Linked DNA regions of Oryza sativa Japonica Group. The protein of the gene in region 3 binds, or shares a complex with, the protein of the main gene of each other region. Links are inferred from orthologs where the notes say so. Each region holds a gene or a part of one and is shown on either strand. Other genes may lie near its edges.

Region 1 (5,056 bases), on a different chromosome or scaffold from region 3:
TCCTGCTTAGTGATTTCAATAATATCAGCAGCTTCCCATGCTTCCTTGACAAGTGACTTGGTCTCCTTACTGGACGACCATAATGGCAGTGGAAGATTGAGATCAAAGAATGTTACACCACCAAATTTCTTGGAAACCTCAATTGCTTTCGACAATGATGATCGTGTCGTGGGCTCAAGCAAAGCTGAAGAATTGTAGTAAAACATCTTAGCCTGCATTAACAAACAGAAACAACTGATTTTTACATAAGATATAACACATAAGTGGACAGTATTTTCTTCAGGGATTGTAGATATCTTTGATTTACCTAATTTCAGATATGGCCTGCCCATAGGGACCTAATATTTTAAGTAGTTGCTTTTTAATGTTCATATTATTTTGAGTTTGGGAATTTTCAGACATTCAGCATTAGCAAAGATATTATCCAACAAGTTCCAGTACAGAGCAGCTTGTAGTGCCCTAACTGCTAAAAGGTTTTTTACAAAAAATTAAGATCATTATGGTACAGGTTTATGTGTCTTCTGACTAAAAAATAACCATGCTAAGTGCAAACATGTAGAAAAAGCACAGTTGTGAACTGAAAGTGTTTTATTTACTTCTTTTTCTGAACCTACCAAAGCACGGCAATGAAAACAGGTAAACCTCCCATTTGTTTATAGTACATAGTATCATTTTGACACATTCATGGTCAACTAATAGATAGCAAGTTTGAATTGATAGAAATCGAGTTGAGTAATTTCCTCTTATTATCTTTTTGGACAAGTACATTAATTTAGCAGTATAGCCCTAGTTGTTCCTTAAGTCTTTTGATATAAATATAATGACTTCTGTATTGCAAACAATGTTGCAACTGAATTATGAATTGCACATCTAAACAGTATAATATGCCATCAGCTGAAAGCAACTTCTTCACTTTAGCAAGCTCTTCTTGTGATAAAGAAAAATAGAATCTTTCTAACTGTATAAGGAACAGAATTATTCAACAAAATTTGCTTTTATGTGGTAAAATTTCCATACCAGATTAATTATAACTAACAAAACAATGTGTGACATACAAATCTTCTGATCCGTGTAGTACTCTTTCATTAACTAATCATCTCTGACAAAAGAAAATGCACCACAACATAATGATAGGTCAGCATAGTAAAATAACTTTACCATGTGAACATTTAAACAATTTATTGTTGCCACAATGTGCATGGCACAAACAAACTTTTCTCAAGACCAATCAAGTGTGCATACAGTTTATCATTAAACCATGTAGTAATAGATAATATTGTAGAGGATAAGGTGTAATCAAAATATTGTTTGATGTACTCGTCTTTACCTCTTTTAAAACAGCTGGGTTGATATCAGTTTGGACAAAACAATCCTCTGCACAAGGTTTAGCACAGCTCATTTTCAAGCTACCCCTACCTGTGACCTTCATCAAGGACATGGCAGTAAACGCTGAAGGGTCCATTTTAATTGCCCGAGTTTGAACTCCATTGACGTTCAAGTGATATAATGTACTTTGACCATAATCATCATCGCCTAGTTTTCCCATGAATTCAACCCGGCCACCAGAAGCTGCTAAAGCAAGAGCAACATTGGATGATGATCCTCCTGGTGCCCTTACAAATTGATCTGGAGACCAGAACATGTCTTTCATTCCCTCATGAATTTCATGATCTATCAGCCTATTAGCAGGTCTTCCAGAAGGAATAAATGAGTACTTAGCAGGCCCAAAGCAGCACACAAGAGGGATTAAATTGTTAATATCATTATCATCAGTATCTTCTAATAGCAATGCTGCTATTTTACTTTCTAGGTCATTTGCTGAAATTTTCTCCTGCCTGTCATTGGAGGGCACTAGATCTTCACCCAGATCTTCCCCTTCATTGTCACTCAATTCCTCTACAGTCTTAACTTTTCTTCTGCCCCTCTTCTTTGGTTCTTTTGCTTTGTCCTTCTCTTCCGATGAGCTTGCAGTAGTTGCAGCTGCAACATAGGAGAGAAGTCATGACTTGCTAAGGGTTTACGATAATTTTTTTCTTAAGTTATTGAAGGAAGTACTCTACTGAAAATATGCAAGCAAGATGTACCTTTCTTGCGGCCCCTCCTTTTTATTTTCTTAGTCCCTTCAGGGGATTCATCTTCTTCAGTGCTCACTTGACCTTCTTGTGTTTCCCCTTCTGATGCTTGTATGGTGGCTTTCTTTCTTCCACGTCTCGGAGCTCTTTTCTTGGTTTTTGATGTCTCGCCGTCACTCTCATCATCACTTGAACCTTCTGCTACATCTTGAGAGCTCTTCTTTGCCATGGAACTTACGTTTCGGTTGAGCAGCCTCATTTTAGCTTTAGGCTTAGTCATAATGTTTCCCAAGAAGTGGGGCTTATAATGTAAATGGCTCCTGCACATTACACATCGGAAGCAAGTCACTAATAACTGTTGGAATTTAAACCATAATGTAAGTAGTGATGTGTTAAAAAATAAAGAATAAGTGAATGTAAGATAGAACTAATGTTATCACACGATTCAAATATGAAGCTGCTACCATACCACGTGGGAGCATATTCAGACAAGGCTAGGTACAAGCGGTATATATATATATTTCATCGAGTACACATCACAATTTGATGACATATTGTTCATCTTGTAAGAATCAAATAGTTGTTATCAAAAAATGAAACAAAACATAGACCCAAGATCTATTGGAAATTTGGGACCAAAGAAAGATGCCACAATCTCCACTCCATGTGCTGCTCCTTTCCCTTCCCTAACCTAGGATCCATATGGTGGCGACTCAAACAATCCGAAAGAGATCGCCACACGCACTCATATCAGCTACTACCAGAAGAAGAAGAAGAAGAAGCTGCATTACACAGAAAAATGAAGCATTACATACCTGATTGAGTTGGTACTACAAGGCAGGGAGCAAAGAAACTGCGGGGGGAGAAGAAGAGAAGCCATTCGGTGCATCAATGGAGAGGAGAGGATTCCTACAAGAATCCTCGCCTACGCCTCTTCCGCCTCCCGGGAGAAGAAAATCCCTCAAACGAAGAAGCTCAGAGCTGAGCAGAGGAGCAAAAACCCCAGGGGAGAGGGGAGAAGAAGATTGATTGCTGCTGCAAACTAAAATTACATACATGCCCTTCCATCTATCTCAAGATAAGGGGCAGAAGCGTAATAAATAATCGCATGGTAGAACACGTACTTGGGGAATACGCTTCATCCATGGGTTTACGAACAGATAATAATACGCTAGCACTCTCCTCTCCTCTCCTCTTCTTCCCCCGGGAGACTCCGCCGCCGTTTATCGCCTCGGCGGCGCGGAATCCTCTCTCTTGGTTCGCAAATGGCAGCCGCACGGGGTAGCTTATAGGGATCTTCTTGGGAGTTACCCTGGTTGACTGGTCCGCTCATTCATCGAATCAACGCATCCTGCGCCGTCGCCTCGCCTGTTCTTCAATTTGCCGCCGGCGCCGGCTTCGGCTTGGCCATGGTGCTCCGGCCTCACGGGAGTTCTTGCTGAATGTTTATCATGGTATATTAATTGTTTCTTTTGTGTGACAATGTGGGAATCTAGTATTCTAGTCGAGTCCTACTGCCGTTCTTTGCAACCTTCTCCAGTTTGTGGCAATGCGTTGCGGCGCTGTCAGCGCTATGCATGTTTGTGGTGATTTGTGGTTCTTCTCCGTTTCACATTATAAGTTGTTTTATTTAGGTTTGATCAAATTTATAGAAAAATTTAGCAACATCTACAATACTAAATTAGTTTCATTAAATATATTTTGATAATACGTTTGTTTTCTATTCAAAATGTTGCTGTATTTTTTAGAAATTAGGTCAAAATTAAAAAAAAAGATTGATTAGGAAAAAAAGTCAAAATGACTTATAATATAAAACAAGGTCGTAATGGACTGTTAAAATTGCTGGTTTCCATAGCACTTTGCACGTCATATGTACCAGTAATTGTTATTCATTCAGCCATTGTTCCTTCTCATTTGCTCCGCAACACATAGTCTGTCAAGATAGAAAAATAATACTATAAATCTACTTATTCAGATAAGCTTGATTTTTTTTTTTTGAGGATTGGAACAAAATAATTGGTTGATTCCGTATTGTACTGTCTTTTTTACTTCTATTGTGTTCTTTTATTTCTGCCACGTCACACATTTAGTTTCTAAACACCCATTGCTCTTCCATTCCGGCTATCAGCTTAAGGACTGTTTTATGTTGTAAAACAGTAAAAGTACTGTTCCTTTGGTAGATTAGCCCTAAAGGAAGCTGTTTGTTCAGATACCAATTGAGAACCTTTTCTTCTGTAATATCTGCCTAAAAGGTTGACTTGTCATGAAATCTTCTTATATTCCGTAATATTTCTGTATTTTTTTCTCATGTCTGAGGTTGCCTGATACTTTGCAGGCAATGTAGAGCTGTTCAGCAACATTTTTTTTTTTCTGGACAAAAATCAAAACCCCAAAAGGGCATTCCAACCATTTAGCTAAGCATGATATATCCTATGGTATCGTGTACTAAATCCCATGTTCTCTATCAAGGATAGAGTTAAACGGCTAATTCCTGCTGCCCAATGCTACTACTTGAAAGGAAAAATGCTCAGCATTTTTGCAACAGTGTTCCCTCATGTTTCTTTAATAAGGTGCTGCTGTACCCATGTCAGCCTGTTTGTTGACTCACAGAAATGCACAAACAAATTTCTCAAGGTACTGTTCTTTTTCAGGAATCAGGATAATCATCCAAGACAAGATCCCAAGAGCAAGCGGTTGTCATAGCTTTAGGGAGCAATGTAGGTCACAGAATCAGTAACTTTATACATCCCTACAGCTCATGAGAGATTCATGCATTATCATTACACCACATGCCTGCTTGTATAAAACTGCACTTGCATGTGTCACTGATGAACCATTGTTTCAAAACTCCGTTGTTAAGAGGGACAATAAAGCTTGGACCACATGAATTACTCAGGAAGCTGCTAAGATATGGGCCACATTAAACAAAGCTTGAGACAGCAAAGAAATTGAGAAGGAGTTGGGCCACTGATGGAATAAGATAT
Region 2 (4,918 bases), on a different chromosome or scaffold from region 3:
GATAATTTTCCTAGATTAACAGTGTATGCAGCCATCATTCATAGAAAAGGAAGCAGGAGGGGCAGGTCCATTTATTATCGTCTGAGATCTGCATCTCCAGTTGATTATTTATTCAAGTATACAGGAAACGGAAGAGTAAAAAAGATTTTAAATACCAGCAAAGCATAGATGTGCCAGAAGTGATGGGATAGCTTGAAAGAATACCTTTTTTAGTGCATGTATGTAGTTCACACTTCACACACTCCATATGTACAGTCTGTCCTCTTTTTATATTTTGTATTCATCCCAAAATTGCAGCTTTATTCAGATAGGCATGTATGATGTATATAGAGAGAGCAGGATGTACCCAAGAAGAAACAAGTGATGAATGGTAAATTCTTTTTTAGTTTATTTCATTCCATTGAGTCTTTGCATTTCAAGTTTGCTTTAGGAATTTGTGCTGCCATGATGCCAACAAACATTTTATCACTAAGTTCAGTTGATTGTTTTGGATTTCTATGCTTTGCTCCATTTCATATCAATCATCCTCGATATCATAACTAAATATCATCCATGTTGCCAGTTCCTCTCAAACAGAGTACTGTTGTTCTTAATTCTTAAACACATTCCCTGTTAAGTTTCCTTGAATGTGTGAAACTAAGTCAATTTCAGAAATTGTGACTTCATTCTGATTATTTAGCTTTATCACTAACATAAATGTGTGCAGAAAAAGAAGCACCAATTTAGTGACATGGGTCAGTGGGTTAGACACTTGCATCCCTACCATGGAAGTCAATAGGTAAACATAGCTCTTCAAAACTGTAAAGCAATGGAAGCCTCCAAGTGGCAGACACATTTTTCCAACTAAAACTGAACACTGAAACAATATGGAACGGACGATAGGATGATACCTGAAAAGCCTGTAAGCTGTTTTGGTAAAACTTTTCCCTTGACCACCTCTGTTGCAGCACTCATGAAATACACTTGTATATCATGAGCATTGTTCTTTTAATCACAAATGATTACCAGTCCGCCAGTCACCACATAGAAGGCACATATACTTGCTCCTTCAAGTTCTGGGCAGCACTCTCAGTAGGGAATCCTCGCACAGCACCAATAGTCCATTGCGAAATGATTCCGGCAGCAACAGCGAATCTCAGATTCCTCTCCAATGTATCCTGGTCCTCATACATCTCAGGACAAGACGTCAATTTTCTAATAGCAGCAGCAACAACAGCATCTCCAGAACCTGTCCGGTCAGTTGTGTATGGAGTTATGAGTGCATCCTCCGTCCCAATCACGCAGCCATGAAACTTGGGTGTGTAGTAGTGGATCCTAAGTGTTCCGTATGTCACAAGCAAGAGTTTTATCCCATCATGCCAAATGGGAGCAATTTCTTCGGGGGTGTAATGGTAGTACTGTGGCCAGTTCCTTGTTAGATGAAAACCATCCAGATAATACTGAGGTGGATTGGCACGCTTATATTGATAGTACTCGTGATCAAGGAGGAATTCCAACTCATCCCTTGACACCTCTATAATATCAGCCTCATTCCATGCCTTGTTTATCAACTCCTTTGTTTCATCCCTTGACCTCCACAAAGGCAATGGCAAGTTAAGATCAAAGAATATTTTACTTCCAAATTTCTTGGACAGTTCAATTGCTCTGAAGAGTGTGCTTTCCATTGAGGGAGTCAATAGGACCTCTGAATTGAAATGGAACACTCTAGCCTGCAATTACAGCACGTTAGGTCTAAAATTCATTTTTTTTTGCTTTCCATCAAATCATAAATAAAGAAAAGACGGTCTACAATCTACTTTCACGGGCACATAAAAAATTCATCTTCTAAGGATAAACATCATATAACAGGGTAAAATTTGTTTGTCTTTTTAATCTGCAAAACTGGTTGGCTTGGCACCATTGTATGTTCAACTGAACTAATGAATAGACATAAGCAATTGTGCTCTGTAGTACACTACTCACATAGAGTCGGTGTTTTTCAATGCAACAATGTACCGCAGCTGAGCGGTGGATATCCTTGCCGAGAAATAAAAATGCAGCAATGGAGTATGCAGAAGTCACCAATTTCAATCATTTACCACAAAATCACCGACTCACCTCTTTCAAAACATCCACATTGATCTCAGCCTTGCTGAGGGAGTCCTCGGCAGCGCTCTTCACCGTCTCAGCCACAAGCCTCGTTCCGCCGCTGCCGTCCTCACGGTCCCGGAACCCGACCTTCATGCGCGCAGTGGCCGTGGCCGCGCCGTCGTCGAACCTGATGGCGCGCGTCTGCACTCGCTCGCAGTTCATGCGGTACACAAGCTCGCGGCCGAAGTCGTCGTCACCGACCTTGCCGAGCACCGCGGCGCGGCCGCCGAGCCTGGTGAGCGCGATGGCCACGTTGCTCGCCGCGCTCCCCGGCGCGCGCGCGAACTCCGGAGGCTCCCACTGCAGATGCAGCCACGTGGAGTATATGTCCGGGTGCATCTGCCGGTCCGACACCCGCACCGTCGGGACGAACTCCCACCGCGGCGCCCCGAAGCAGCACACCAGCGGCGGCCAGTCGTACGGCGAATCCTCCCCGTCTTCGGAGTCGCTCCCCGTCGCCTCCGCCTCCCCATCCTCATCTTGGACCGCTCTCTTCGAATCCTCCGTTCCGGGGCTCGCCGCCCGGACCTCATCCTCCTTCTCCGCCGCCTCCTGCTCGGCCTCTTGCTTGGATTTCCTTGTCCGACGGCCCCGCCGCTTCGGCGGCTCCTCCTCGCCCTCTGAATCAGACTCCTGCGTATTCTTCTTGGTCCTGCGCCTCGTGGTCTTCGCCTTCGGCGGCGACGGGGATGGGGACTTCCTGCGCCCGCGGCGTGGGGCGGGTTCAGGGGATTCCGGTACGGCGGCGCCGTTCGGGGAGCAGCGAATATGGCGGCCTCGGAAGATGCTGGGGTGGATGCGCGCGGCGAGGATGGTGGGCTTGGGGAATAAGGATGGCAAGATGAGGAATGGGGAGGCCGCCATGGCCATAGCCGGCTCTCTCCTTCGGTGGGAAGCCTGGTAGAAGACGAAGGTGTTCGACTCTATCCAGTTCGCGTTGAAGGGTTTAGCGACCGTTAAGGATGTCGGGTTGCGCCCGAATCCATAAACTGGGTTGCAGCCTTGCGGGTATGGATCTGAGCGCTTTGTAGGCCCAACATTGAAACGGAACGGTGCTGCACCGCTAACTAATATGGGCCAAATTCGATCTCGACGGCCAGCCTGAAGTTTAGATTTGACAGTTGCGTTGGCTCAAGTATGAGGTTGCAGTGAGCGTCTCCAATAAGTTCAGGCCGGAACAAATTTACCGTCAAGGAGCATAACTGCATAAGCTGTGTACTCTGCCCGTGACTGAACTGCAGAGTATTCTTGTGTGCATGCTTGATTCATTTTTCCGGACTACTGAAATTTTTCCCAAGATATGTCCATTATTCGTTGATCCAAACATACATCAGTACAGAACAAAGTCAAAAGGATAAAGAAATAGAGAAATAGCTAGGGCCTAGGAGTAACAAGGACACCCTGATAAAAGTACATGCGCATCAGTACATCACTAGACACCAACAATGGAGTCTCGCCGTATCACTCGACGGGGACCATGACCTCGTTGGTGCGCAGCGGAGGCAGAGTAAACGGCGGGTTGTACCGCGCCAGCACGAAGGGGCCCTTGACGGTGAACCCGTCCTTCTCCAGCGCGGCCTTGAGCCACTCCGCCTTCTCCTTCACCACCTTGTCTCCGGTCAGGCCGCTGAACCTCACCACCCCGTACTTCCTCTCCCCCACCTGCCGCAGCACCACCCGCTCGTCCGTCGGCCGCGGCGCCTCCTCCACCTTGCTGTACTTGGACGGCAGCAGAAACTGCATTGTCATCTGACCCTTCCCCTGGCTGCGCTCTTCGGCCGTGATCACCGGCGCGGTCATCGCCACCGGCTCAGGCTCACCGGAGGTGATGACCGGGGCCGTCATGGCGATACTCTCGGGCTCGCCGGAGGTGATGACCGGCGCGGTCATGTCGATCTTCTCTGGCTTGGTGTTCTGCGGGTTGCCGAGGGCGCCGATGTAGTTGCCGAGGACGGTGAACCCGCCGTCGCGGTCGCCTTTCATCTCCGCGGGGTCGTAGGTGACCTCGGCGACGACGCACGGCGGGTACTTGCGGACCTCGTAGCCGGCGCCGGTGTGGAGCACCTCGTGCTTGGGCGTCTCCACCGTGATCTTGCCCAGCACCATCCCCATGGCGGTCGACGGCCGGCGAGATCAGCGAGCAGGTGAAAATTAAGGTCGGATTCGATCTCAGCGGCGGGGGTGGGTTTGTTCTTTGTTGGATACTTGGATGAGTGATTGGCGGTGGGCTTGGCCGCTTGGAGTTTAAAGAAGCGGCGAGGAGGCGGGATGTGTGGACGAAGTGGGGAGCCTGAATCGCGGCGCGTGTTGCTCCACGTCCGCGGTGCGTTTTGTCTTCGGCTTGGCGGGCAAGTCCAGCACTCTGCAACAACCTCGATACGTCCTCCGTTGGCTTTCGCTTTGACTAGAGGTCTAGAGCCGCTGGCGCACGGTATTTTGCTGCTTTCTGGAGTTCATGGGCTGGACTTTGGGCTTTACCAAAATAACAGGACCAAATGAGGGCCAGACGGCCAGTAAATAATGGGCTCGACGCTTTCGACCAAGTTATATGAGCATGTGACAAAGTTCGGCTCTGATCATATATCTATTATATTATTAAAACAGCTTTGAAAGGAGACACCATGTTCACTGTGGGGGCTAGAAATTTTCACATTAATCGGAGAAAAATAAAAAAAAAGAAAAAGGAGAGTCCAAGTAGAAGTACAATTTAAAAATAGCTGAAATTCGAAATTAAAAATAAGCAATATTGAAAGAAGTTTCTATATAAGAACCCAATATGAGATTAATC
Region 3 (4,961 bases):
CAGCAGGGGGCGGACCTAACTGGGGATTGGTGGAATGAGATCCACTGATCCAGGCGTGGAGGGCGGTGGAATACCTTGGAATCGATGCGAACGAGGAGGCGGCAGGCGGCAGCATCGGCCCCCCTGGCTGGCTCCAAACCCAGCGACCGGCCGTGCGCGCGAGGAGGCCGAGCAGGGGAGAAGGGCTAGGGCGGGGTTGGGAAGGAAGAGGCGCCTCCGGGGCCAGTTCGCCGGCGGCTGCGTGCGCGCGGCGGCGAGGCGGGGGAGAAGACCGGCGGTCACTTTTTTTTTCTTTATTTCTTTTTTTCTTTTTTTTTTTTGAAGCACGAGAGAGGGGATAAACTGTGATGATTGGGGTGACTGTCAACGGAGACGGATAGGAATGATTGGATCCAAACTTAGGTAAATACTTAAATGGGTGCCTCCTTTTCTCACTTTTACCGTTTTCTAACATGTGCTAGTTGTGATTTTTGCATGCTTGTTTAGCTCTATCTTCAACTAGCTTGCTCGTGTAGAAAGTATGCTTGCATAGCCCGTTTTTTAGTTTGCTTCTTGTTAAATTGCCTAAGTTAAGTTTCATGTGTTACCCAGATTATCCTATCATGGTCAAAACGTTCGAAACGTCCGAGTCATTTACTCATTTTTCTGTCTTGCACTGACCGAGTTCGAAATGTCCGAGTCATTTACTCATTTTCCTGTCCTGGCACTAACCGAATTGTCTGATACGGTGCCAACCAAATTGTCCAACTGCATCCGTAGTCGGACCGTCACATCCGGTATCCGACTATCTCATTCGGTCTAATTATTCAAGTTTTTGAAATTTTACCCCCCCCCCCCTCTCCGAGACCCTTTTTAGTTAGGGTTTAAGATATTTGAATCATATATAGGTTGTAAAACTTGGGCTGCACTAGTCTTAAACCTTACACACTAGGTTAGTTTAACTAGATGATATCGAGCGTGTTGCTACAGAGACAGTTAAGTATTACTTAAGAGTACAGCGAGTGAGAATGAACATGAACTATCAAGATGTTGTGGGGTCATGCGTGTGCTCCTCTATAGAAGTAATTCCAGTTAGTGGATTGTAGCTATAATAGGTTTTCTTGTAATTTAATTTTAGTTGTTAGCCTCCCTCCCTAGTCATGATAATCTTGATAATCATGAGGGAAGAGCACAAAGGTGCAAAAACCGTTTTATCTTGAACTAGGAAGAATAACTGAATTATAGAGTAGCTTGTTAGTCTGAAGCACGAACCCCACATATAACATACTACATTCCACACGCAGACTCTGCGTACCAGAAGATTCAGAACCTTCCCACTAAAGATCAGAAAGCTCAAATCTATCACATCTACTAGTGGCTAAAATACTTCAAACATCAAAATCTCAACTATGTCCCTATATCCTAGCGATCACAATTCATTATCAATGATATTTCTGATCATATCAATAGGAATCAGTCCCTCAGTCCTTAGGGCGTCTTTGCTTTGATCTGGACTGAAGAAATACAGTGTTGGAAGTCCTCTTACCTGTATTTTTCACCCATGGTGAGTGTTCAGAAAACATTGTAAAAATAAGTTATAAACCAAAACAAAACTATGATTACTATTTTCTTTGCTCAGTGTGTGCAATGATGTGTATACCTGCATATCTCTTGCAAGTTCATATTCATCATCAGTATCCACCTTCACAAACAGGGCATTGTTTTCATATTCAACTGCAAGCTGACACATTATATGGCAGAAATGTTGAAATCAGTTGATAGTACAAGAGGATGCAAAAAATGAGTTTGCATTATAAGTATATATGGCACTTGGTGAAGTTACTTGAAACCTATAAGTATTACTTCCTCCGTTTCACAATATAAGTCATTCTAGCATTTCCCACATTCATATTGATGTTAATGAATCTAGATAGATATATATGTCTAGATTCATTAACATCAATATGAATGTGGAAAATGCTAGAATGACTTACATTGTGAAATGGAGGGAGTATAAAAGAATATTAGGGAAGATCTAGATACAAATGTGATGGAAACACTATTGTTGAATATATTAAATCAAAGTTTCTTCAATAAATTCAGATTGTCAAGAACACTGGGGTGGAGCTTGCAGGAAAGGCAATATTGTCTCTGACAAATTCAGAGCATACAAAGAATACCACCAGCGTAACAGCCACAAATTTCAGGGAAGATTTTGGAATGGACATAGGCATCTTGCACTGGCTATATCATTCCCTTTCGTTATTAGGCACAGACATACACGTTGGGTCTGCCATTTCTTTACTAATCTAAGTAGAGAATGGTTAAAATTGTTGTAGTCTCATTTTGGATTAGAATCTTGATAAGTAAGTGCTTAATTAACAAGACTAGAGTATTCATGGCACATGACACCTACTAACACCCCAGTTCAGTTTGGTGCTAGCTAGACATTCAGAGACCCTAAATCATACAAATGTTTTCAAAATCATGTGAAGCTTTAAACACTCCCTAAATCAGTTTAATGTATGTTTTCAAACATATGTGAAGATTGTTTTTTTCTTTTTCTTATGGGTGTTTCCTCTTTCATTGCTAGTAATAACTCTACGTGGGAAGGGTGCGCAAACTTGTAATTGGTCAGAGAGTGTTGCCCAACGTTAGAGAGAAGCAAACACTAAACGGGGAATGTAAGATTTGCAGGGCACATATTACCATCTCGATGTCCTGGGCCATGAGGACGCAGGGTCCGCACCACGTCGCGTAGAAATCCACGATGAGGGGCACCTTCCTCTCCCCCCTCACCAGCTCCTCCAGTTCCTTGGCCGTCACCTTCTTCTGCAACCATGAAAGGAGGAAGGAAAGATATATCCCGTTTCAGATACCCAAGTAGGACTCGATCGAGCAGACTCCTCGAACGTAGCCAGGCTCACTGCCAAATGCGAGTCGAGCCTTGCAGGATCGTACCACGAGGTAGTCCGGGGCGATGTACTTGCCGGAGCCTGGGACGTAGGTCTCGGCTGCGGCATTCCGTCGAACGCCTTGCGCGCGACACCCACCGAGGATGACGCCGAGGCCGACGCCGCGGCAGCGGGAGCCGCCATCGCAGGAGAGGGAGGCCGTCGGGGTGGAGTTGCGGGGCGGGCGGAAGGCGCGTCCGGGGAGGGTTGGGGCGGCGCTCGCCGGCAGGAGGGAGGCGGCCGCGGCCATGGCCATGGCTGGGGGGAGCGAGTGTGGGAGAGATAATCCTATCCTGTCTCTGCCTCGCGAGCTGTCGCTACTCTACTCGAGTAAAAAAGGCGAGTTGCCTGTGAGTGATGATGTGAGGGGTAAAAGCCTTAAACATTTGGTTTTCGCTAAATATCTGTCTTGAATAAATCCTGAACTTTACCTAAAAAAACTACAATCACTTCTCCATCCATCTACTTTCATCCATCTATTTTTGATAGTTATATTTCTAAATCTAAAAATTTTATTTTTGATAAGCATATTTCAATCCAACAACTTATCCTCTTAATGACTTTTTTCGGATTTAATGCGTGACTCTTATTTTTCCATACAAGATTGGATACATGAGTATCGAGAAATATAAATATTAATAAATCGCTTGTTTACGAGGAATGACTAGTAACATGTTTAAATGAATGAGAAGTAGAATTACTTATCCTTGGTCTGTGTACCAAGATAAAATATGATTATCAAAAGTATATGAAAAGAGTACAAAATTCTTTCAAAGTGAACAAACATTTAGACAACATCATAAATACTGAATAAAAACCAATACATAGAAAGAAAGCAATTATTGAATCTTCATCCATATATGGCAAAAATCTACGTGACGGTAAGTTCTAAGTTTTAACATGTAGAATATATGAGCTCCTTGTTTTCTTCGCATTTTTTAAGCTATGTCCAGAACCATAAGAGCACCCGCAATGGTAAAGTAAGATACTATCTATAAAACATTGTCCATATTAGCAATAGACTAGATTAATAGTAAACCACTTCAATGATGTCTACATGGGTATCTATAGCTCTCTAATCCATTGCCTCGTCTTTCTCTATAGACTATCTCCAGGTTAGTAGATAGCTTTACTCTCTCTCTCTTCATTTAATCTCTTCCAAGTAGAAAAATATGCTGATATGGATCTCGTGTAAAGAGTCTATAGATAACCATTGCGGATGCCCTAATACAGTACCCACACATTCACACGAATCTTAAGGCCATCATAGAGCAATAATATAGGACCCGCAATGCTACAACATACATGTCTTTTCGTAATCTTAAGCTAAACCCATGAATAAAAAAGACTATTCACCCAAGAATCAAAGGGTAAATTTATGTTGGAAATGCATAAAATATTTTTCATGGTTGTCCACCATAACAATATTCCCTCCTTATCATAGTAAAAAAAAAAAAAAGGGATCGGTGGTCGACCCACTCTGACCGTTCGATTCACCGATCAAACCGTCGGGTCACCGGTCGAACCACCGGTTTTTAATTTATTAATATTATATTTGTTTTGCATTATTTTTAATATAGAACCATCACAAATTGATGAAATATGCATAAATAAACCAGTATATCTATTATTATATGACCACAACATAAAAAAAATAAATGTAGTGTAACTTAACAAACCCATAATGTCATACTGCCATATGACAAATTAAAAACAACTCGATTCTAAAAAAACCACCGCCGAGGTTCACCAGTTCAAATAAAACCTACCGGTTCACCGATTTTTTACCCGTTCGATTGCAGGGATAGTCTTTGAGCTGAACTGAGCTGCCAAGGTCACTGGCTCCAGTTTTTTCCGGTTCAACCACCGGCCAGGTCCCCTTTTTTTACTATGCTCCTTGCTATTCTCCCAGTATATGAAGGTGGAATAAATAATGAGGTTGTCTACGACCCATCGTTCCTTATCGAACGCCAAATCTTCTATTCTACTCCCTCTGTCCCTAAATATAAGAGATTTTGATAGGATGTG

What was found.
Region 1: the proteins of thioredoxin-like protein CITRX, chloroplastic (region 3) and fructokinase-like 2, chloroplastic are in contact, whole or in part, in a cryo-EM structure (PDB 8XZV), measured with the Spinacia oleracea proteins. The link is inferred for Oryza sativa Japonica Group from reciprocal best matches to the Arabidopsis thaliana genes TRX z and FLN2. Residues at the interface, in XP_021862427.2 of Spinacia oleracea: Tyr73, Lys77, Ile83, Thr84, Val87, Arg88, Phe99, Tyr100, Thr102, Trp103, Gly105, Pro106, Ile108, Leu109, Gln112, Asp131, Asp133, Tyr136, Phe138, Ala139, Arg140, Asp141, Met142, Gln143, Val144, Arg145, Gly146, Leu147, Pro148, Tyr151; in XP_021858068.1 of Spinacia oleracea: Gln218, His219, Ala220, Phe221, Val222, Pro223, Ser224, Gly225, Arg226, Pro227, Ala228, Arg230, Leu231, Ile232, His234, Gln235, Ile236, His237, Leu240, Lys241, Ala243, Phe250, Ile251, Asp282, Tyr283, Thr286, Trp308, Ala310, Met311, Ser312.
Region 2: the proteins of thioredoxin-like protein CITRX, chloroplastic (region 3) and fructokinase-like 1, chloroplastic are in contact, whole or in part, in a cryo-EM structure (PDB 8XZV), measured with the Spinacia oleracea proteins. The link is inferred for Oryza sativa Japonica Group from reciprocal best matches to the Arabidopsis thaliana genes TRX z and FLN1. Residues at the interface, in XP_021862427.2 of Spinacia oleracea: Tyr73, Val75, Lys77, Ile83, Thr84, Val87, Arg88, Tyr100, Ala101, Thr102, Trp103, Cys104, Gly105, Pro106, Cys107, Ile108, Ala111, Gln112, Lys129, Asp131, Thr132, Asp133, Asp134, Tyr136, Phe138, Arg140, Asp141, Met142, Gln143, Val144; in XP_021865197.1 of Spinacia oleracea: Gln111, Lys112, Glu113, Phe114, Val115, Pro116, Ser117, Val118, Arg119, Val120, Ser121, His123, Gln124, Met125, Asp126, Pro127, Asp128, Ile129, Tyr130, Trp133, Met136, Gln137, Pro141, Phe143, Asp175, Phe176, Lys201, Ala203, Cys204, Ser205.

Annotation. Positions count from the first base shown.
Region 1 is NC_089037.1:23,404,711-23,409,766, reverse strand, and holds the start of fructokinase-like 2, chloroplastic, read right to left. Parts: upstream 3,068-5,056; 5' UTR 2,962-3,067; coding exon 2,888-2,961; intron 2,393-2,887; coding exon 2,085-2,392; intron 1,981-2,084; coding exon 1,328-1,980; intron 213-1,327; coding exon 1-212. UniProt on the Arabidopsis thaliana protein: Required for proper chloroplast development, most likely through regulating plastid-encoded polymerase (PEP) dependent chloroplast transcription.
Region 2 is NC_089035.1:37,264,858-37,269,775, reverse strand, and holds fructokinase-like 1, chloroplastic, read right to left. Parts: upstream 3,050-4,918; 5' UTR 3,001-3,049; coding exon 2,098-3,000; intron 1,710-2,097; coding exon 1,017-1,709; 3' UTR 768-1,016; downstream 1-767. Other genes in the region: heme-binding-like protein At3g10130, chloroplastic, read right to left, coding at 3,592-4,242. UniProt on the Arabidopsis thaliana protein: Required for proper chloroplast development, most likely through regulating plastid-encoded polymerase (PEP) dependent chloroplast transcription.
Region 3 is NC_089042.1:17,952,836-17,957,796, forward strand, and holds thioredoxin-like protein CITRX, chloroplastic, read right to left. Parts: upstream 3,276-4,961; 5' UTR 3,190-3,275; coding exon 2,941-3,189; intron 2,812-2,940; coding exon 2,689-2,811; intron 1,721-2,688; coding exon 1,640-1,720; intron 1,526-1,639; coding exon 1,409-1,525; 3' UTR 1,212-1,408; downstream 1-1,211. UniProt on the Arabidopsis thaliana protein: Thiol-disulfide oxidoreductase that plays a role in proper chloroplast development, most likely through regulating plastid-encoded polymerase (PEP) dependent chloroplast transcription.